Linked DNA regions of Xenopus tropicalis. The protein of the gene in region 2 interacts with the protein of the main gene of each other region in a biochemical or structural test. Links are inferred from orthologs where the notes say so. Each region holds a gene or a part of one and is shown on either strand. Other genes may lie near its edges.

Region 1 (11,213 bases), on a different chromosome or scaffold from region 2:
AAACATTGATGCAAATTGTTGAGACAAATCCGCAATAGCTTGACTGGTCTCAGCTGGATCCATTTTATGGCCAGTTCAATATGTTATAAGGCAAAAGTTACACTATTACTGGATCCCCTTGCTTGAGACCCAAAACAAAGTAACAAGTCTGACGCCTTGCCAGCAGGATAGCTGCTAGGCTGATTTGGAAACAATTGTAACAACACACACAGCTCGGCTCCTGGGTGCAGCTGCTGGCTTACAAACAGAGTAACAAGTCTGTAACTTGTTGGCAGCATAGGCAAAAGCTGCTAGGCAAACATTTTGAAACTATTGACTACTCACAGCTCAGCTCCCAGGTAATGCTGAAAGTTTGCAAAGGTACTAGGTGTGTGAGAGATTTGATTGAACTGGCAAAGGGGAGTGCACGCAGGGGGTTTAAGAAACCTATGCCTGACTCTGATAGGCTGCGTGGCCAATGCATGTTAACTCATTCCTCACCAGCTAGCCAACAACTCACCCTGCAATCCTAACTGATCATTAGTTCAGTTTTTGTTAGGTTCAGTTTGAGGTTGGGTTGGTTAATCCAATTAGAGATAGCCAGGAGGCAGTTAGAGATTTGACTCTCAGTTTCAACTGTTAACGAAGGGGTTGAAAAATAAATTTGGATATCATCGGCATACAGGTGATATTTAAAGCTGAATGAATGGATAAGATCTCCCAAAGACAGCGTGTAGAGGGAGAACAATCAATGATAGAAGAGAGCAGGGTCAAGAAGGTGGGAAGGGGTTAAACTTAGGAAAAACTTCACTGACCCCCAACAAACTGAATGAGTTAGCACATTAATTAATGAATATATGAACTGCTTGTTATAGAGTAACATCAGCTATTTATATTGCACAAACAAGGGGCATGACCAAAAACATTTTGGGACTGCATGCTTGTGTTCATGCCTTACAAAAGCCTGTGCAGAAGGCATGTGCAGAAGGCTCTCCACTTCGACTACAGTAGTCAAAGTAATGAGAGACCTGAACAGGAAGTGGGGGTGGAGCTTCACGCTGAACAAAGAAGGAGAGGAATCGAGCAGCTTGTAACTCAGGAACCAGGTCAGAGAGAATGAAGGGACAAAGGCAGACAATTCTGGGATGCTATTTAGAGTAATTTTAATAATAGAAAAAAAAGGTTTACTTATTCTTTTAGAAATGGAAGATATGCAAATGATGATCAAAAGTTTATTTGGGAGGGAATATTGTGCCATCTTTCTGATTAAAGTAAATGATTAAAGGAACAGTAACACCAAAAAATTCAAGTGTATAAAAGAAATTCCGATATAATGTACTGCTGCCCTGCACTGGTACAACTGGGGTGTTTGCCTCAGGAACACTACTATGGTTTATATAAAGAATGCAGCTGTGTAGCCACGGGGGCAGCCATTCAAAGGAGAAAAGGCACAGGCACTTAGCAGATAACGGATAAGCTCTGTAGAATACAATAGTGTTTTATCTGTTATCTACTATGTAACCTGTGCCTTTTCTCCTTTTTTCCAGCTTGAATGGCTGCCCCCGTGGCTACACAGCAGCTTATTTATATAAACTATAGTAGAGTTACTGTAGCAAACACACAACTTTTACCAGTGCAGGGCAACCGTACATTATATTTCTTTTACTTTAAAAGAAATATACTGTTCCTTTAAGTAGGTAGAAGAGGAAAATAGGAAATACCACGTGGAACATTTAAAAAGCAATATTTGCAAGCAGTGCATGTCTTTAACAGTAGTGTGTACTACAAGGTATTACTGTACTCCAGGTGAGGCCTTTGTAAGCTTATTAACACAATTATGCCTTGCTTTAAAGTGAACTGACATTAAAAACTACTCTTCAAAATATGAATGTATATAAAAAGTTACCTAGGTCATATTGATAGTTTTTCGCTGATAGACCTGCTTTTGTAAGTAATTGTTACTTGAAGTTCCTAAACCTGACTGTTTTGCCAACCCGATAACCTGTCCCTTCTCAGCCTGTCAGTTATAGCTTCTAATGCTAACAGACTCCTGCTGCACAAATATGGCAGCCCCCTTATAGAGGAACATGGGGAATTAGATAGGTAATGTAAAAGCATTGAGCAAATACTATATGTAGCATGCAAAGATGTTTGATAATTTTTTATATAAAAAAAAGTTTAAATTTCTGGTCTTAGTATCTCTTTAAATAAATTCTTCTTGCAAAAAGATTGAATAAAAGATTTTTCAACTGGCTTTGACCAGTGCATTCCAGATGTTAATCCTCAAGACCTGTATGTGCTACGTATTATAGGCAGCTGGTTTTAGACAACATACTTCTGATTCAAGTCAATTAGGAATGCACCAAATCCAGGATTCAGATCAGGATTGGCCAAGATTCAGCCTTTTTCAGCAGGAATCGGAGCCAGGCCTATCCACATGCCTGGAATTTGAATCCTTAAAGGACATGTAAAGCCTACATTTGCCTACAATGTATATCAGTTGGGCACATCAACCCAACGCAAATGGCATTATTTGTACTGCATTTATCCCATCCATTTGCCAGCACCATCACATTCCTAAAGCAAATAATAGCTTTCACCCTGTGGCCATTTTTCCTCTGATACATAATCAGTTACATTTAAATCTGCAAACAGCCTACACACACAAAGGTACATTTCATCAAGAATACAGGCTCACACAGGCAGAACTGTCTCTGATAAAAGTTCTGCTTTGTTTAAGCTGAGTTCAGGAGAGAAAGTTAGGAGAAAAAAACTGAAGCAGACAGCTGAGTTTCTATGGGAACTAGCAATGCCATCTCTTTACTGGCTGCTAGACTGGAGGGCGTGTTTAGTAATCTGAGCTTAGAACAACTGAGCATGCCTATAAACCAGAAGTCAAAGCAAAGTCCTGAGGGGGAGGGGGGGAGGCTACAGGAGAAGAAGGAAATCTACATGATTAAGGGGATGTTGCAGCCTTACTATTAACCTCTGGACAGCCAGTGTGGCCAAATCCTTCATAAAGAATTCAAGGTTCGCGAGATCTCAAAATAATGGATTCAGGGCATCCCTAAAGTCAGTGCTAACAGCTATTTACCCCAGGGTGATGCTCCACTCTAAAAAAAATACACCAGCCCTGGGTACTTTACAGCAGAGTATGCACCTGCCATCTCATACTCTGTTCCCAGGACTTCCTTATGATTACTCAACCTGGGTGCATGCACAGTACAGAATTTAGTGAAGTTGTTCTATAGTGCAACATGTGAAGGGAATGCCTGGGAAATTGGAAGAGAGTGACAACTAAGCTCCCTACTGTTAGAAGCCAGCCTAGGGCCCCTAACTGTAGGAATGCCAGCCCAGGTTGGCATCTAGAAGCAATGAGGGCACCAAACAAACTGGAACCCCCGGTTTTTTATTTATTTATTTTACTTTATTCTCCTTTAAATTGTAAGAATGGTTTTTGTATTGCACTGGATAACAGAACAATTACTCAGATTCCGATAGGTGTTTTTACTTCCCACACTAAAAAAGACTACAGAAAATACCTATTATAGACTGAAAAAAATCCAATCCAAGAAATGGTTTATAAAGATCAATACACAAAGAAGCATGATCTGATATTGAAATAGAATCCATTCGTTCTACAGAAAACAACTGATTATTGCACACCCCAAACAATAATATCAAAATCTAAAGGAATAAGAACATCAATTTACCTATAATGTACTCAGTTACTATATCTCAGGGAAGTAAACTCCCATTCCGCTAGGTGAATCCAGTCACAACCCTGATTGTCCGGCACACGTAAAGTTAATCTCATGAGCGAAGTCTCGCTGTGACGTAATGCGTCGGGCCTTACGCACTATATAAAGCAGACTCTGACTTCTCGCGATCTCTTCCCATCTCCCAACATGGCGGTGAGTCTCAGATGTGGAAGCTTTTGCGCCGGGGAATTTAATCTGTCGCCATCAATTTCATAGGCGCGTCTCTATTAAATATACTTATGTAGATCGTATGCTGGCAAATCTGTTCGCTCGATGATCTAGTTATTGTAGCGGCCCGTTTACACTGACAGATTGTTGGAGGATCATTCTGGGCCGGGTGTATACAGCCATAACTGTGTATGCCGTGTATGTCTAGCATATAAGGATCTTTAGAATATGCATAACTGTTTTGGTACACGGTCTGTTATGTTTAGCGTCGACTGTCTGCTCTTATTTGCTGAGCTGCTACGACTTGTTTTATATGACTGCGCCTAGTAACAGGCAAATGTGTGACTTTTAGGCAGGCTGAATCATTAAAATATTGATATGTATGTAGGAGTTTTAAGCACGTTGTGTTGTCGGACAGTATGGGACTCTGGTATCCTTGGTGGTTGGTCAGTGTGTCTGCCTGTTACACCTAACTTGATTGTATAGTGTGTGCTTTTATAAACCTCATAGTAAATCCAGGGGACTTATTAAAATACTTGAATCTTTTCACTGCTTTTTTTCATGTAGACGTTTAGAGGAATGTGGTAATGTTACCTTGGCCTGTAAAATAATGTGTTCTTGGTTATGGGAGGAATTGGGAACTCCTTAAATAAAATACAAGGAAATGTAATATTACAAACTGAAAGCCCCTAGTAGTTTGTGACCTTATGGAAGTTATTCCCTGCTTACTGTCCTGTTGACATCTTTCAAATACATTAAATGAATATTTAGCCTGCTAGTTGACATTATTGTGAACTGTTAAGCCTGTATGAAAGCTGAATTGCAATATCAGTGTAGCAGGCATTTAAGATACAATATATGCCAAAGTATTTGGCTGACTATTTGACCAAATCTAATCTTTTTAAATCTTGGAAAAATTGACCGTTTGCATCTCACTTCCACTCATCCTGCCTCTTAAATTTACATTTCTTTTAGGGTTTGGAGTTCGTTCTGCCCTATTCTTAATATTCAGCCAAATTCTGGATTCATGTATCCCTAATAATTTTTCTTCCCTTCCTCCAGGACAAATCTGACAAAGAGAACCCTATGCGTGAGCTGCGGATTCGTAAGCTCTGCTTGAATATCTGTGTTGGTGAGAGTGGTGACAGACTGACCCGGGCAGCCAAGGTGCTGGAGCAGCTCACCGGGCAGACTCCTGTCTTCTCTAAAGGTAAAGAAACCATCACTTTAATTCTTTTTTTAAATGATACTGTCAGTGATATGTCCCAACATGCCTTCAATAGTAGCTTGCCATCTCATTTACTGTAGATGTCGCTATTGAGCACTGTTACTGCAAGTAACTAAAATTGCAGGCCTTTTACCAATTTTGTCTCCCTTCTGTTCATATGACTGTGCTGTAAATTACCCCTTTTTTTTAAGAGCTTATACATATGGCACCCCTGTAGCATGTGTATTGCCGCAAGGCTATGTGAGAAAATCTATATAGAAGTTTAATAAATACAGCTGAACTGTTGACTTCATATCAGATGGATGTCTAATAGGGAAAACTTTTCAACAAAATCATTTGTTTCTTGGGATTGCTATTTTGTTTGGTGTTATAACCTGTTGACCTAAGTGCATGATTCTTTTCCAGCTGCCCCTTTGTTAGATCTGATACATTTAGCAAAGCTGTGCTCTTACAATAGCAATTTGTTTTGCAGCCCGTTACACAGTGAGGTCTTTTGGCATAAGAAGAAATGAGAAAATTGCCGTACATTGTACAGTACGTGGAGCCAAAGCAGAAGAGATCCTGGAAAAGGGCTTGAAGGTAGGATCCTTGCTAACTTAGTTGCTTGCCTTAACTGAAACCACTGAATTCTACACAACATACCTTTACAACTTGGCTGAAGTGCGCTTAAAATGGCGTAAAACTTGGTTTAGTTTCATATCTGCAGCACAAGTCCGCAATATGGAACTTCATGCTGTTGCAGACCTTGTTTTGTTTGCATGTAACACTGTAGGCACCCAGTGCACTTCAAGCAGTCTGGGTTTAAGTCAACTGTTTGGTGGATTCTTGGACACTTCACCATTTCAGTTGTTGTCCTGCTTTGTAGTGCTATACCCAATGTGTCATACTGGGTAAAACTAAGGCTGAAAAACAGTGTAAGAAGCTGTGTAAAATGGCACACTTGTCAAGGGGTGTGTTTTATGCCACTCTATATTTGCATTTCATGTCATTCATGCCACTACAAACCTCGTATAATGTATTAAAGCCAATGGAAAAAAAATTCAAGCGTCAAGTTTCAGCAGAAGTAAAGAAGTAAAAAAAAAAAATGAATTATGTATTTTCCAGTTTTCAATGGGCAGCTTACATTTACACCAGATTTTGGGGAATGCATTTTCTGAAGATCAATACATAGCTTGATAAAAAAAGACAATTTATGTAGTGATGACTGGAATTGTTTGGTGTATTTGGTCACTGGATATGATAAAAGGCCCCTTGACCTTGGTACAGGGGCATAGCCTAAAGATAGAAGCAGAATCAGCTGTAAGACCATAATTTGTATGCTCCAAAGCGCCAATTATCACATTCACTTTGGACCTGTTGATATGGGATATCGGTCCTTCATAAAATTCTGTATAGTAGTGAAATGTCAGTAATGATAGATTCGACTGTTCAGATATGTAGTTCTAAACTTTTAAGAAGGCAGAAAGTTTCGATTATTGGTGAGGCTACATGATACCTCAGGGTTGTGCTCTTGCAGAAGAATACACTGGCCCAATATATATTCTGAACAAGAGGAGTTTTTACACATCTGTATGATCACAAGCAGGTAGCATTTCCACCTTTCGAAAAATGTAACTGGCTGGTGACTTAAAGGGGCTGCACAGCACCTCATAGGTGAGACAAAGTAGTAAACGGGTGGGTCCATTACTGCATGGATATGCCTGGGTTGATTCTGATTTGGAACTGGAGTTGACTGGGCCTTAAGTGGGCAGAGATGCATCTTAATGGTATTACAAATTTTCCAGCAGTGTACTTGACGGTGAGTATGTAATACCAGCTATGGCTGTTAAATACTGGCCAGGTGGCAACACTACATGGAGGTCTGCTTCCTTTTTAGACTGAGTATTGCATATTTGTTATCCTGCATAAATTAGTGGACAATGTTCTTGTAATTTATAAAAGGTTCCTTAATGATTTTTATTCTCTCTAGGTCAGGGAATATGAATTGAGAAAAAACAACTTTTCTGACACAGGGAACTTCGGTTTTGGTATCCAGGAACACATTGACTTGGGGATTAAATATGACCCAAGCATTGGTATCTATGGATTGGACTTCTATGTGGTATGTGCATCTTGGTAACAGCTTTTTAAGTATATCTAAATCTTGCCATACATATCTAAATTCTGGCTGGATGGTTTGGCTGATTCTTGTGGTTTAAAACCTGGGCATAAAGGTGACCATACACGGGCAGATTATAGCTGCCGATTCAAAGTCTTATTTGGTAGGTTATTTGCCAGTTTATGGGCACCCCTGATGGGCATACCAGACAGATTTTGACTAAAATTGTCCACATCTCGATGGGCATGTTTGTTTTTTCCATTGGATTGGGGATCTGATCATCGATGCAGTCCTCGGCCCACCAGCTCCTATGCCTGCTGGTTTAATTTGATTGTTTGGCCCAAGGGTCAGTCTATCAAATAAGCTAGATATCGCCCACCTTAAGGGTCAAGGGGAAGATCCATTCATTTGGCAACCTTTTGCTGTGTATGGCCACCTTAAATTTTGACAGTCCATCTTAAAATCCTGTTCAGTCAGTCTAAATGGCAACTTACCTGCAGATTCGCCATCTATGCATGTAGATGAGGCATCTGCAGAGGTAAGTGGGCAGTTGCTGCTCCTAAACCGTCTGCTAGTTTAAGATAGAGGCCAAAATAAACAAAAGGGTACTATAGCCAAATTAATCACTATAACCCATGTTTAACATTAGCCGCATAGGGCTTATCAGAGAAAATAGCTCTGTGGTAGCTTGCTTTCCCTAGCTTCTACCTCCTTTCCTAGTTTTACAGATGCAGCCGTTTTATGCTTGCCTTTTGCCGGTTTTAGCTGAACTGTGTAACCGTACCAACACTAAAGTCTCATGTAAAAAGCTAGGTTTGTGTTTCCACTCTTATGGTGAAGATAGATGGGGTGATTAGTTGCTGTGATTTAAAAAAAAAAAAAAAAAAAAAAAAAAGTTGCAGTGACCAATTCCGCTACTAAAGTAGATGTGACTTGTAGCTGTGTTGGTACCTTTGCATGCAGTGATTTTCATATTTGAAGAATGGGTAACATTGCAGTAATTAGTTGCCGTGGCTGGGCAATTAGTCAATGCATCTAGCTTTTTAAAAAAAAAAATTGCAGCAGCTAATTTCCCAGTCTGTCTTTGCCCTTAGAGAAGGGGGGGGCAAAGTCACTGGGAGCAGTGAAACTGACAAGCACTTGTACTTGACATTTTCAGCCTGACACAAGCATTAAGGGTCTGAATATGTTCAGTAATAGGGCTGTCTAACATATGCTAAAAGTGAATTTAGAGGCCCAATGGTGGTTTCAGGTACACTAGTTTGTAGGGGGAAATATGACTTTTTGGTAAAAAAAAGTTCTAGAGAGTGCTATGGTGCCTGCAATGGAAGGGAGCTCCTGGTGGTCATTTAGGTAGTAATACAAAAGAAAATTACAGCACTTGCATTATACGCATATGAAGCATAATGAGCCACACATGACACATAATTAGGGAGCTGGTAAATTTGACCATTCAGTGCATGCATGTAATCAAAGATTGCTACCTTCTGGTGTGGGGTGTTTAGTGCTCTGTAGAAGCATTTATTAGTCAAAATAGTATTGTTTACCCTTATTGGAGTGCTGGCTTTATTAGAAAAAATATCCTGTAAGTTTATATAGTGAATAATGTCCGTATTTTATAACGGGGTACAAGTCACTAAGCATTCAGTGCTTTTAGTACAGGTAAAGGAACAGGGAGTGCATTTATTATAATACACATTTTGTTTAGTCATGTGACAAATTATAATGGATGGCATCAAGCACAGTTGTTGGATATATAATTTACAGGATTTCCATGGCTCTTGTGTATTGTATCCTTCTAATAAAGAGCCATTAATATTCTGTAACAATTTAAAAAAGTGGTTCTCAACCTTCCTAAAGCAGCGACTCTTTAATACAGTTCCTCATTTTGTGGTGACCCCCAACCATAGAGGAGCGGTGTCTCTGTTCCTAGGACCATCGGAAATGTGTTTTCCGATGGTCTTAGGTGAGACCCCTTTGAAAGGGTTGTTCGACCCTCAAAGTGGTCCCAACCCACTGGTTGAGAACCACTGATTTAAAGGATATTACTGAATATTCATGGCTCTTGTTTATTATAAGGATATAATACACAGAATATCCTGTAAGTTAACTCCTTAACGGTGCTTAGTGATGTGCTCCGTTACAATCAAGCCCAGCGATGTATTCTGTCACATGACTTGCTGAAACTTGTGAATTACAATAATGTACTCCTTGTTGTGAAAAAATATATTTAGAAGTCACCATGGAGTTCTGTGACCTGCATGAAAACCTTGTGCTTGTATTTGGTCAAGAAGCTCCTTGGTGACTTATTTTATAATAAAATACTATAAGGGTTTAGCTTTCCATTTTTATTCCCCCCCCCCTTTTTTTTTTTTTTTTTTTTTTTGTAACTATTTGCAATTGAAAGCATTAAGTCTCTAAAGTGCGACGAATGTACCCCCTCCTAAAGAAGTGGTAGGTCAAGGGAGCGTTATACCAATATTGCCCACTTTAGTAAGATTTGCTAAGAGTATATTCGCATGTTAGCAGCAGTGTTAGAGGTGAAGCTCCAGATCCCTTAGTATATATAAATAGTGAAAGGGAGGGAAGGAATGTGTACTTCATGCTTTATAGCTGTGTTCTTAAACATTGAGTTGACAGTGCACAATTACTGCAATGACTGTAATGAAATGCAAACTTGTCAGCCTTGATTTTTAAATAATTTTTTACCAAATTTAATATTCACAGGTTCTTGGCCGACCAGGATTTAGCATTGCCGACAAAAAACGCAAGAGAGGCACAATTGGAGCAAAGCACCGTATTGGAAAAGAGGAGGCAATGCGCTGGTTCCAGCAAAAGGTAAACTTTCAGGAACATGCAAGAATGCACAAATAAGTTGGAAACACTGGTTTATGTACTAATACTCTACCAATCCCTAGCTGTTCTTGAGTTCCAGCTCATAAGACAGTTGGTAATTCCCTGGAAGGCACAGGGTATGAAAGTGGTTTAGATTCAGGTCAAATGCTCGGCTATTTTGCTGCAGAATAAACTGCACTTCTTTTGACTTTGAACCTGGGACAAATGCAATATTAATTTTTGTTTGTTGCCCGCTTCATCAGTCTCTTGAAGACTGGACAGAAGTATTGTGCATAATGGACAGTTTGTGTATTTTATAATGAAGATTCAAAAGTGTGACAATCCCCCTGTGCAATCTTCTTGTCCATTACATAAGAGACTGTCCGCATTAGATTCATGTGTCTAATGTTAGATTTAATGTTTGTACAACAGGAGCAATTCTGCTCTTATTGGAGTGACCTACATAATTATGTCCCTCAACTCCATGCTTCTTGTGCTCCTTCAGAATGAGGAGGGTTTGCATTGCTAATGCAGAGCACTATTGCCCTATCTGCACTGGCCCTGGTAACCTGTGGGCTGCTGCTGCTGCCGCCTGAGGCAGTTTTTTTTTGCAAAATCCAGTCTGTGCATAGGCAAAACTAGTGCCTGTCAGTGCAATTATACCTTGGGGCAAATGTAAGCAGATTTTCTTTTCAACGCAGGCGGAGAAATAGCTTGGTGTGGCAATAGCCTTATTGCTTGCCTTTCCACTGAGGGAATCTTCTTTTGTTAACCAACCAGGTTGGGGTAGAAATTTACCATGGGGAAAAAAGGAAAAGCTGCACTCCTTTCTCTAAAAAAAAAAAAAAAAAAACATGATTATAACATGATTGGCTACTTGGAAACAAACAACCAGACGTTGATTAAACCCTTCATCATAAGTTGGTGTAAAAATTACCCAACTGTAGAGCAACAGAACAAAGTAAAATGGGGGGTAAAAAAACACACTAACAATTTAGACAATATTAAAGATTCCTAGAATACAAGTATGGGACCTATTATCCTAAATGATCGGGACCTGGGGATTTTTTGGAAATCAGCTGGGGCTCATTTTAAGTAATACTTCTGATTAATATGGGTATAGGACTTGTTATCCAAAATGCTT
Region 2 (10,924 bases):
ATTAACTGTGTGACTTATAACATTGCTAAATATGTGGCCAACATCTTAGCCCCCTTAGTTGGAAACACAGTACACCACATTCAGAACTCCATGGACTTTGTCAAAAAAGTGAAGGAGTTAAAGCTGGAGATCGATGATACAATGGTGTCCTATGACGTAACATCTCTGTTCACATGCATACCCACTGCCGAGGCAATTGATACAGTGAGGAAACGGCTGAAACAAGACACCACCCTCAGCAGCAGAACAAAGCTGACCCCAGAACAAGTTTGTTCCTTACTGGACCTATGTCTCAATACCACTTACTTCAAGCACAAGGAAGTTTTCTATAGACAAAAACATGGCTGTGCCATGGGTTCGCCTGTGTCTCCAATTGTAGCGAACCTTTACATGGAAGAAGTGGAAAAGAAAGCCCTGGACACCTTCATGGGAACAACACCAAGTCATTGGTTCAGATATGTGGATGACACCTGGGTCAAAATTAAAGAACGCGAGGTTCCAGCCTTCACCAAACACATAAACTCGGTGGACAAAAACATCACGTTCACAAGGGAAGATGTGAAAGACAGCAAACTGGCTTTTTTGGACTGTGCTATAGTTATCAAAGAGGGGAGGGACCTGGATATTGAAGTATACAGGAAACCCACCCACACAGACCAGTACTTGCTGTTTGATTCCCACCACCCTTTGGAACATAAACTGGGTGTAATTAGGACTCTACATCATTGGGCTGAAACTGTGGCATCCAATGCAGAGGCTAAGGAGAAAGAATATAAACATCTAAAAGGAGCTCTGAAAACTTGTGGGTACCCAGACTGGGCCTTCATCAAAACCAAATCAAAGACCAACAGAAAGACCAGACCTACAAACAGAAGGGAGGAACACAGCAGGCGAAACAACATAGTCATCCCATATGTTGCTGGAACATCGGAAAAACTTAGGCGAATTTTCAACAAACATCGCATTCCTGTGTTTTTCAAACCCAGCAACACCCTGAGACAAAAGCTGGTGCACCCGAAAGACCCAACACCCAAGCACATGAAAAGTAATGTGGTCTATGCTGTCCAGTGTAGTGAAGAGTGCTCAGACTTATACATTGGGGAGACAAAACAACCTCTCTGTAAGAGAATGGCCCAACATAGGCGGGCAAACTCCTCAGGACAAGACTCAGCGGTCTATCTACACCTCAAAGAAAAAGGTCACTCTTTTGAGGACAGTAACGTGCAATGGAACCATTGTGATTGGATGCCTGTGACTCTACTACCATCAAGAGTTTAAATACCGGGGAATTCCCTACCAGTCATTTGAACTGAAGAAGCCACTCAGATGAGTGGTGAAACGGTTTCAAGAAAAACTCAGAAAAGTCCAGTTGTTTTAGACTTAATTCTACTAGATACTGTTTTTCATTATGTTTTTAGGCAGCACAGGAAGAGGTCGCCAAGCGAGCAGATCTGATATCCCCACCTATAGGTGGGCAATTTCGGGCCAATTCAGGCTAATTCGGGCCCCCAAATTACTCATTCCTGGTTTCTGATTCTTGGTCTGTTTCAGACTTCTGGTTTGATGCCTTCCCAGATCCTGGCTATTTGTGGACTTAAGTATTCTGAATCCATATCCCAGCTAAATCTTGTTTTGGTTATTCCATATTCAGATTCCTCTTTAGACTCTTTTAGACTTTCCGGAACGTCTGCAACATTGCAGATTTGAGGTTTGGGCAAAACAAAAATGCCACACTGAGACCAGACAAGAGGTGTGGGAAAAAAAGTTTTTTTTGTGTTTATTTTTAAAGAGCAAGATGTTAAGCAAACACAGAATTCTGATGCCAAAACTTAAGATGGTTCATGACAAGGACATATTTCACATTTTTACAGTGAGAAAAATCCACTTCAGATAGGTATTCAGTAATATAAAAGAAGACTATCAAATTTGCAGAATCCCCAGTAAATATGTCTCTTCTCCTCTTCAGAACTGAAAAAAAGCTTTAGATTGTTTCAAAAGGATATACTCTGCACTGTTTCTGGTTCCCAAACCTGAAGGGAAGGTCAGAACTACCATAAACCTGAGATACCTATACAAGTTTATACAATGGCAGAAATTCAGGATGCAACTCATAAGGTCAGCAGTAAATTTCCTCTCATTGTCACCATAGGCCTGTAAGATGCATACCTGCACGTTCCATTTTATCATCTTATATGATAGGAAAACTCATTTTCTGCTTGATGACTTTTGACAACCCTTAAGCTTAGCTTTTCACCAGCTGCACAGAACTCACTGAGCATGTGCAGTGTCTCTGACACTCCTATCAAAATCCAAATGGGGAGATTACAACTTTGTAGGCCTTGATCAGTACTGTTATAAAGATGTTGAATTTTTAGGCAGATGCATAAAGTATATAAAATATGACATTTCCAGCCATATTCATTTTTAGGCTTTACTCCCACATTTCAGCAATACACAAAAGAGGTGTGTAGAAAACTCTAGCAGACCAGCTCAGTGGGAACATAATTATGACAGGTGAATGGTCTCTCAACCACCAATTTTTCATGTAATAATACACAGGTGGGATGCACTGCAGCTGGATCTGATGGCAACAAGGAAACACAAGAAATGCAAGATCTTCTGCTCCATCTATCGGAAAGCTAAGCCAATACACCGGCATGCCCTTTTCATCTGCAAACTAGGTTAATAGGTTAAAAACCAATTCCCAATCCACATTCAATTCCAGGCAGTAGCGCTTGGATTCTCTCAGCACCCTGAGTCAGTCACTGAGTTCAGTTGCTTTTATATATGGCTGGTGGTATCTGCAGTTAAAGGTATAGTTCATTATAGTTTAGTACAATATACAATGGTAAATTCTTAGCTATTCCTCAACTGGTCTAATTTATAAAAAATTTTTTACATTATTTTGTTTCCTCTTCTGACTCCTAGCTTTCAGATAGGAGTTACTGACCCCCCCCCAGGAGCTTAACACCTATTCTCTGTGAGGCTACCCTTTAACTGTTCTTGTCACTTTTTATTACTTATCTCATACCTCCCAACATTTGAAAAATGAAAAGAGGGACAAAAAGATTTGGTGCGCGCATCGCAGCAATTTCTTGACCACGCCCCCTTTTGTGACCACGTCCCCAAATACCACACCCCTTTTTTTCAAAATATACTCCTTTTATATAGTTGAAATGGTGGGATCAGACGCAAATGTGCTATACCCTCATACTGTTCTACCTAAGGAAAACAATACAGCAACTCCTCTCAAATATAGAGAGAAGGCATATGTGAGTTATAACTAAGTACCAGTTTTGCCCCCCCATACACAGTGCCCCCAATGGTCCAATAGACAGTATCCCCCATACACAGTGCCTCCCATACACAGTACCCCCATACACAGTGCCCCCATAGACAGTACCCCCAAAGACAGTACCCCCATAGAAAGCGCCCCCAATTGACCCCATAGACAGTGCCCCCAATTGACCACATAGACAGTAGCCCCCATACACAGTGCCCCCATAGAAAGTACCCCCTTACACAATGCCCCCATAGTAAGTGCCCCCAATTGCCCCCATTCACATTAGCCCCCTTACACAGTAGCCCCCATACACAGTAGCCCCCATAGACAGTACCCCCATACACAGTGCCCCCCATAGACAGTACCCCCACAATAAAATTTTTACATTTTGCTCTCATAAGGAGCACTGGGGACCTCTCCACTCCCTTTGCTGATTTACAGATTATCACCCCACTCCCCCATAAGGCTATCCCAACTTGACTACTGTAACCTGCTGCTAACCAGCCTCCCTAACTCCCATCTTTCTCCCCTACAGTCTATATTAAACACCGCTGCCAGAATTCTCCTCCTCTCACCCAGGAGAGTTCAGGCCCTTCCCCTGCTAAAGGCCTTATTGTGGCTTCCTGTTAAACAAAGAATAGTTTACAAACTCCTTCTCTTAACCTTCAAAGCCCTCCATTCCTCTGCCCCTCACTACATCTCTTCCCTGGTGTCTCCGCACGTTCCTGGCCGACTCCTTCGTTCCTCGCAGAGCAACCGTTTGGTTGCGCCCCCAACTACTACAGCTGTTTTCCGCCTTAAACCTTTCTGCCCTGCTGCCCCTTACATTGGGAATGCCCTCCCTGATTTCCTCCGGAGAGAATCCTCCCTCAGTCTTTTTAAAACTAAACTTAAAGACTCCCTTTTGGAGCACTCACCCAGCACCTGATCTGGGAACTGGCACTTATATTGTAGTGTCACCCACTGTGACCTACAGCACTTATATTTGCCTATTTGTATCTGTAAGTTCCCCTCCCATATAGATTGTAAGCTCTACGGGGCAGGGACCTCCTTCATCTTGTGTTTCTGACTCTTATTGCAACTGCACCTTGTATTTATTTGTATTTATTGTTGTACTTTGTATTTATCCATTATCTTTAACCTCCTGTCTGTATTAATGAATAACCTACTGTACAGCGCTGGGTACATAAGTAGCGCTTTATAAATAAAGATATACATACATATACAAGAAGTATTGCTGCTGGTCTTTAATATATAACGGCCGCCTTAATTGCAAACCATTCTGCGTTTAGTTCTAACAATAGCAAGTAACTAATTAGCTAACGTCTGGAGTGTCTTGTTGCATTTTATTATTGGGTTTATGGGTAGATTTTTACATCTACATTCTGTAGAGACCGCTGCACATCGCCTCCATAGTAATGGCAAGGCGTCAGCGGAAGTAGGTTAGAACACATGGCAGACGAAGCCAGAGGAAGTGACGTCGCCCGATTCCAAGATGTCAGGCACTGGGGAAACCACATGGAGAAATCCCGCAGAGGATGAGGAGGAAGATGAAGGTATGGAAGAGTCGGGCAGCGAGGATGAAGATGACGAGGGTGATATTATGGAAGAAGAGGAGGACGATGAGAAGGACAAAGGGCCCAAGCGGGTCTATTTGCCCGGGATGGAGCCTCTTAAGGAGGGAGAAGAGCTGGTGATGGACCAGGAGGCGTATGTACTGTATCACCAGGCACAGACAGGTAACGCTCCCTTCTGCTCCCCGGTGTTGGGATCCCTTATAGGGGAGCGGTCGGGCAGGGAGGGGAGCGGCGGGAAGTTCAGCGCACAGTCCCGGGCTCTTTAAAGGGCAAGTTACCATGCAAGCTTACCAGCCTGGTCATTTTATAATGATATCTTTAATATATGTTTATAAGTATATAAATAATTCCAACGTGTTCCACAGCACTTTCCATAGGTTATATCTACAGTTATTAGGAATGACTTAACTTGCCGGTATGTGTTGGGGGAGGGGGGCACAGGGGGAACATGCAGATAATGCCCTGGCTGGAATCAAACCTGGGACCCCAGCAATGTCAACTACAAAACTATACTACACGGTTGTCTTGTAGTTTTTTGCTTCTTTGTATGAAAATTAAATGGTTTCTTTTTTTATTGTGTTATAGGTGCACCATGTTTAAGTTTTGATGTCATCCGTGATACCCTGGGGGAAAATCGCACAGATTACCCGCTGACTATGTACCTCTGCGCTGGTACTCAGGCCGACTCTGCTCAAGGCAACAGGTACTAGAAATAGATTATGTACAGGGGTACATAAGCATCATCTGATTTTCTAAGTCTCAAAAGTAGATGAAGAAAACCTCGTTTAACAAATTGATCAATTATATATGGTCGTGTATTTATTGGGGGAAAAAAAAGAATGCAATAACATATCTGCAGTAACATATAATATCAAACATTTGAAATGAACCCCATAAGGCTGCCCAGCTGGGGGCCCACTAGACTTCCAAGTGATTTTTATGGCTCCAGTTTGCCAAATGGCTTTTTGACATTGTCATTTTACTATAATCTGGCCTTTGACCAACACTTCTTTGGCCTGTAGTTCATGCAGTATCAGACTGACTGACTGTCAATATCTGACTGACACTTAGTAGGCAGCTGTTCATTTTAGCAGCTGTAAAGCAATTACTCAAGCCAAGGTCTGCAGAACAGAACTGATGTCTTCTGACTTTGGTCAAGTTGTCTTGTCTTTGTATCTTTTATTCACCAGAACTTACTGTCAGTTCTACAGTACCTGAGAATCCACCCAGCCTGTATAAGGAAGTGTAACTCTTTTTCCTCTCTTTCTTATAGGATGCTGGTAATGAAAATGTACAATTTGCACCGTACAAGCAAGGAAAAGAAAGATGATTCCGATTCTGAAAGCAGTGACAGTGGCGAAGAAGAGGACGAGGAAGAAAAGAAGCCTCAGTTAGAGCTCGCTATGGTGCCTCATTATGGTGGCATTAATAGAATTCGCGTAAGTCGGGTTGTGTTCTCATATTTGTTTTTGTCTTTATAACTTTGCCATGTTTAGGAAAAGATATACAGGTATGGGACCTGTTATCCAGAATGCTCAGGACCTGAGGTTTTCTGTAATTTGGATCTCAGTAAATCATTTAACCATTAAATAAACCCAATAGGGCTGTTCTGCCCCCAATAAGGGGTAATTATATCTTAGTTGGGATCAAGTACAGGTACTGTTTTATTATTACAGAGAAAAGGGAATCATTTAACCATGAAATAAACCCAATAGGGCTGTTCTGCCCCCAATAAGGGGTAATTATATCTTAGTTGGGATCAAGTACAGGTACTGTTTTATTATTACAGAGAAAAGGGAATCATTTAACCATTAAACCCAATAGGGCTGTTCTGCCCCCAATAAGGGGTAATTATATCTTAGTTGGGATCAAGTACAAGCTACTGTTTTATTACAGGGGAAAAAAGGAAATAATTTTTAAAAATGTAAATAATTTGCTTACAAGTCTATGGGAGATTGCCTTCCTGCAAATTGGAGCTTTTTGGATTACAGGTTTCCTGATAGCAGATCCTATACCTGTATACACTAAACTAGGAAGTGCTGCCCTATTGCGACCTCTGCTGTGGTATACAATACTGTTGTTAGTAGTTTTATTTGTAAATGTCAGACCTGGAATGCTCTGCAACATTAAAGGGAAACAAAATGTTAAAAAAGTGATAATCTAATATATATTTATATACGAGTAGATCCATATATGTGGTATACAAGCAAATGTGAGCTTTTAACTACTTCTGTTTGTTATATTATCATTGGTTTGTCTCTGCTTTTAGGTATCTACAATGGGGGAAGTACCCGTGGCTGCTGTCTGGTCAGAGAAAGGGCAAGTGGATATTTATGATCTAAGGAAGCAACTGTCGGCTGTGTCAGACTCTCAGGTGCTCGCTGCTTTTCTGAAGGAGGAACAAGCCAAAATCAAACCAGTGTTTTCTTTCTCCGGGCACATGACCGAAGGGTTTGCAATGGATTGGTCTCCAAAAACAGCAGGTACACCATATCAAAGTTATCCAAAGTTTAAGCCTCAAATTCCCATGAGTTGTTATTGATTATAAAGGCTTGGTAAAAATGCCTAATGGTACATGAGCTGCTTTTAAAGGTTAAACATCAATAGTTTGATTCACTTAGTCTTCTACTTCCCTTTCACTACCTCTTTAGGGCGCTTGGTTACTGGTGACTGCAATAAGAACATCCATCTGTGGGATCCAAGAGAAGGGGGAACGTGGCATGTTGACCAGAGACCATTCACGGGCCATACTAAATCTGTTGAGGATCTTCAGTGGTCTCCTACAGAAGCCACGGTAAAGAACATACACTGTCTTATAGTTATTCTAGTGATTGTAATTTCTTTCGACCTGCGACCTTGTGCTCCTGTTCGCTGAAGACTCCACCAGCCCAGAGTATTTGTGTAGGAGCATCACACCCCCATCGTCTTCCTGTTCTTCGATTTTCTCTGCGACCCTGGTCTAAGTGTATATGCTCGGTAGAGAGAAAAGCTGAATGTAGAAGTACAAAGCTGGGTTTTCACTCTGCTGCATATGGGCACCTGGCTCAGGGCCACAGAAGACAGCCAAGAACAGGAAGAAGGTAATGGCAGCCACTAGTGATTATGCCTTAACTTTTCCTCTCTGCATCCTTTGACTATACACAACAAATATAATCTTCAAGACAAGAAGGGAGAAATGTAATATAAGTTGCCCGTGGACTTGCACAAAACACTGCAAGACCTTTAACCACTGCCTATTCCAGAGTAAAGGTGGCTGTAGAGGCAGATTTAAGCTGTTGTTTCGGCAGCTTATCTACTTGTGTATGGGGCCTACCTCTGATACCTTGGCGAAAATCGGCCACGTCAATAGGGAAGGTGTCATTTTCTCATCAGATTGTCCTTGTCCTAATGGCCGGTATCCCTGTCGTTAAATCACCCACCTTAGGTGGGCATATTGGGGAAAGATCTGCTCGGTGCCATCCTTGCCTAACAAGCAAGCTGTAGTCCTTTTCTACACTTTACAGTCTACTGGAATACGCTGGTCCTTAAAGTGATACTGACACCAGAAATGAAACCTTTTTTTATAACATTGTCATAACATTGCCTTTGCATGCTATTTATAATTTTGCCATAAAAGTATTTGTCCAAGCTTTTACATTCCCTGTCTGATCCCCTATGTTCCTCTATAAGGGGGCTGCCATATTTGTCCAGCAGGGGGCCGTTAGCATTAGAAGGGACAGTCAGGCTGGCAAAACAGTCAGGTTTTGGGATTTCAAGTAACAATTACTTACAAAAGCAAACCTATCAGCAAAAAATGATCAACATGACCTATAGGCAACTTTTCATGTAGATTCATATTTTAAAAAGTTGTTTTTTCGTGTCAGTATCACTTTAATGTTTATTAATAAGTAAGCAAAATCATGTACTGACAAAGTATCCTGTTGGCTTTTGGTTTAATAATTATGATTTGTTTTTTATGCTTTCATGTTAAATGTATAAGGGGCATCAAAAATAAATCTATCTGTTTAGGTGTTTGCCTCGTGCTCCGTTGATGCTTCCATTCGTATTTGGGACGTCCGAGCAGCCCCTAATAAAGCCTGCATGCTGACTGCCAGCCAAGCCCATGAGAGTGATGTCAATGTGATCAGCTGGAACCACCAAGAACCTTTCATTGTTAGCGGAGGAGATGATGGTGTCTTAAAGATCTGGGACCTTCGCCAGTTCCAGGTGGGTTATGGCCTGGGCATATATATGTACAGATATACAATATATTAGGAACCATTAGATGCTGCTGTAAGAGAGGAGTCCATTGAAAGAGATTTGTCTACATGGATTGGTTACTGGAGCCAAGTTGGTTCTGGCTTTGTATATTGCTCCTGTGTGTGCACTTATTTCTTTTGCACCCTATGTTATATATTTGTCTCTGGCAACGCAGGCAAAAAGTTTATGGAATTGGATTGAAGGGATGAGCTATCAATACTTTAATAGTCCAAGTTCCCATTATTGCTTAGTCACGTGATGAGGTATTATTAATTGCTATGTATAAGCAAAATCTAAAGTCACAGATGGTTTCCAGCCTTGCTAATGCAGTGAAACTGGGTATTCATTTACATTTGCAAACAATCCAAAAAAGTAGAAATGTACTTCCATATACAGTAAAAGCCTTGAAGTTTGTGTATGTACATATTTTACATTTTTTTTCTGTACAAATATACAATTTTTATTTTTTTTTGGTTGGAATGATATATGTCATAAAAGGAACTGACTTCAATAACAAGTTTTCTACCCATAACAGAAAGGAGTGAGCGTTGCCAAGTTCAAACAGCACACAGCTCCAATCACGTCAGTAGAGTGGCACCCAACCGACAGCGGCGTCTTTGCAGCGTCGGGAGCCGACGACCAGATAACACAGTGGGATCTTGCAGTTGAAAGAGATCAGGATCAGGAGGCAGAAACAGAAGACCCAGCATTGGCAGGCATCCCTCCCCAGCTGCTGTTTGTCCATCAAGGAGAAAAAGACATTAAAGAACTTCATTGGCATCCCCAGTGCCCGGGAGTAGTCGTCAGCACAGCCCTGTCCGGCTTTAATGTTTTCCGTACGATCAGTGTGTGATGTTTTTACTGTCCCACTTGCTGCACAGAAACCTGCAGTTGATTCATGTTTTCTAACAAGTACTGAAAGGTTAACCATGGTCAAGAAACCACCATAACTTAAAAGACTGGAGACTGATAGTGGCCTGAATGGTATTGCAGCAGTAATAAATAGCATCACTGTGGCTTACAAAAATCACTCAGAAAATATTGGCAAGCTGTTGTTTTTCCTCATCAACAATGTCTGTTCTAATTAAGCTTGTGTGAATACTTCCCCATCACTCCGCTGCAAATCCTTACTAGCCCCTACACAGTGCTGACTGGCCAACATTTTAAACAGTCACTTTAAGTTTAGCTGAGCTTATACCTAAATGCAGCATATACTGACGATGGAACTACTGCAGCTGCAATAAGCAAATTTCTATTTGCGAATTTGTTAAAAAAAAAAAAAATGCCAGAAGTTAACTGTCCGGGTTAAGTATTTTTGAAAATCTTGGTAACATACTTGAATATATACCCTTTTTTTTCCCCACCAAGAACCAGGGCATGGTAAATATTAAAGTCTTTTTAAAAAGGTAGTTTGCCTCTTAATTGGGCACATATTACTCTAAAATTGCAGGCTAATAGAGCCACCACTATGGCTGAGGGAAACAATAGTTAAAAAAAAAAAGAAAACCTCAGTCCCTGCCAGTGCTAGGGTGCCAGCACTGGGAGGGAGCTCTTGGTACAGGCGGCCATGTTATTAAGCATGCATATGAGGGAGACTCCCCACTCGCTCATTGCTCACATGCTTGTGACATTGGAGCTGAGGATTCTCGCCAATGTCACACTCTCGTTATGCGCGTGCAAGTGCCACAACATGGCTGCCCAAATACTGTAGGGGGCTATTTTTTAAAAAACAAAACAAATTTGTTTCCTCCAATCGGAGTGTAGGCTTTACTAGCTCTCACCTGGTGCGGGAAGCAATTTTAGGGTGCCCTTTAAGTTAACTTTT

The links.
Region 1: the proteins of grwd1 (region 2) and rpl11 form a complex in vitro, tested with the Homo sapiens proteins (2 studies listed by BioGRID). The link is inferred for Xenopus tropicalis from reciprocal best matches to the Homo sapiens genes GRWD1 and RPL11.

What each region holds. Positions count from the first base shown.
Region 1 is NC_030678.2:90,767,310-90,778,522, reverse strand, and holds the start of rpl11 (60S ribosomal protein L11), read left to right. Parts: upstream 1-3,882; 5' UTR 3,883-3,887; coding exon 3,888-3,893; exon of another isoform or gene 3,894-3,956; intron 3,957-4,970; coding exon 4,971-5,118; intron 5,119-5,608; coding exon 5,609-5,715; intron 5,716-7,105; coding exon 7,106-7,237; intron 7,238-9,961; coding exon 9,962-10,072; intron 10,073-11,213.
Region 2 is NC_030683.2:114,828,465-114,839,388, reverse strand, and holds the start of grwd1 (glutamate-rich WD repeat-containing protein 1), read left to right. Parts: upstream 1-4,758; 5' UTR 4,759-4,778; coding exon 4,779-5,022; intron 5,023-5,445; coding exon 5,446-5,563; intron 5,564-6,133; coding exon 6,134-6,299; intron 6,300-7,129; coding exon 7,130-7,343; intron 7,344-7,511; coding exon 7,512-7,654; intron 7,655-8,868; coding exon 8,869-9,066; intron 9,067-9,634; coding exon 9,635-9,952; 3' UTR 9,953-10,924. UniProt on the Homo sapiens protein: Histone binding-protein that regulates chromatin dynamics and minichromosome maintenance (MCM) loading at replication origins, possibly by promoting chromatin openness.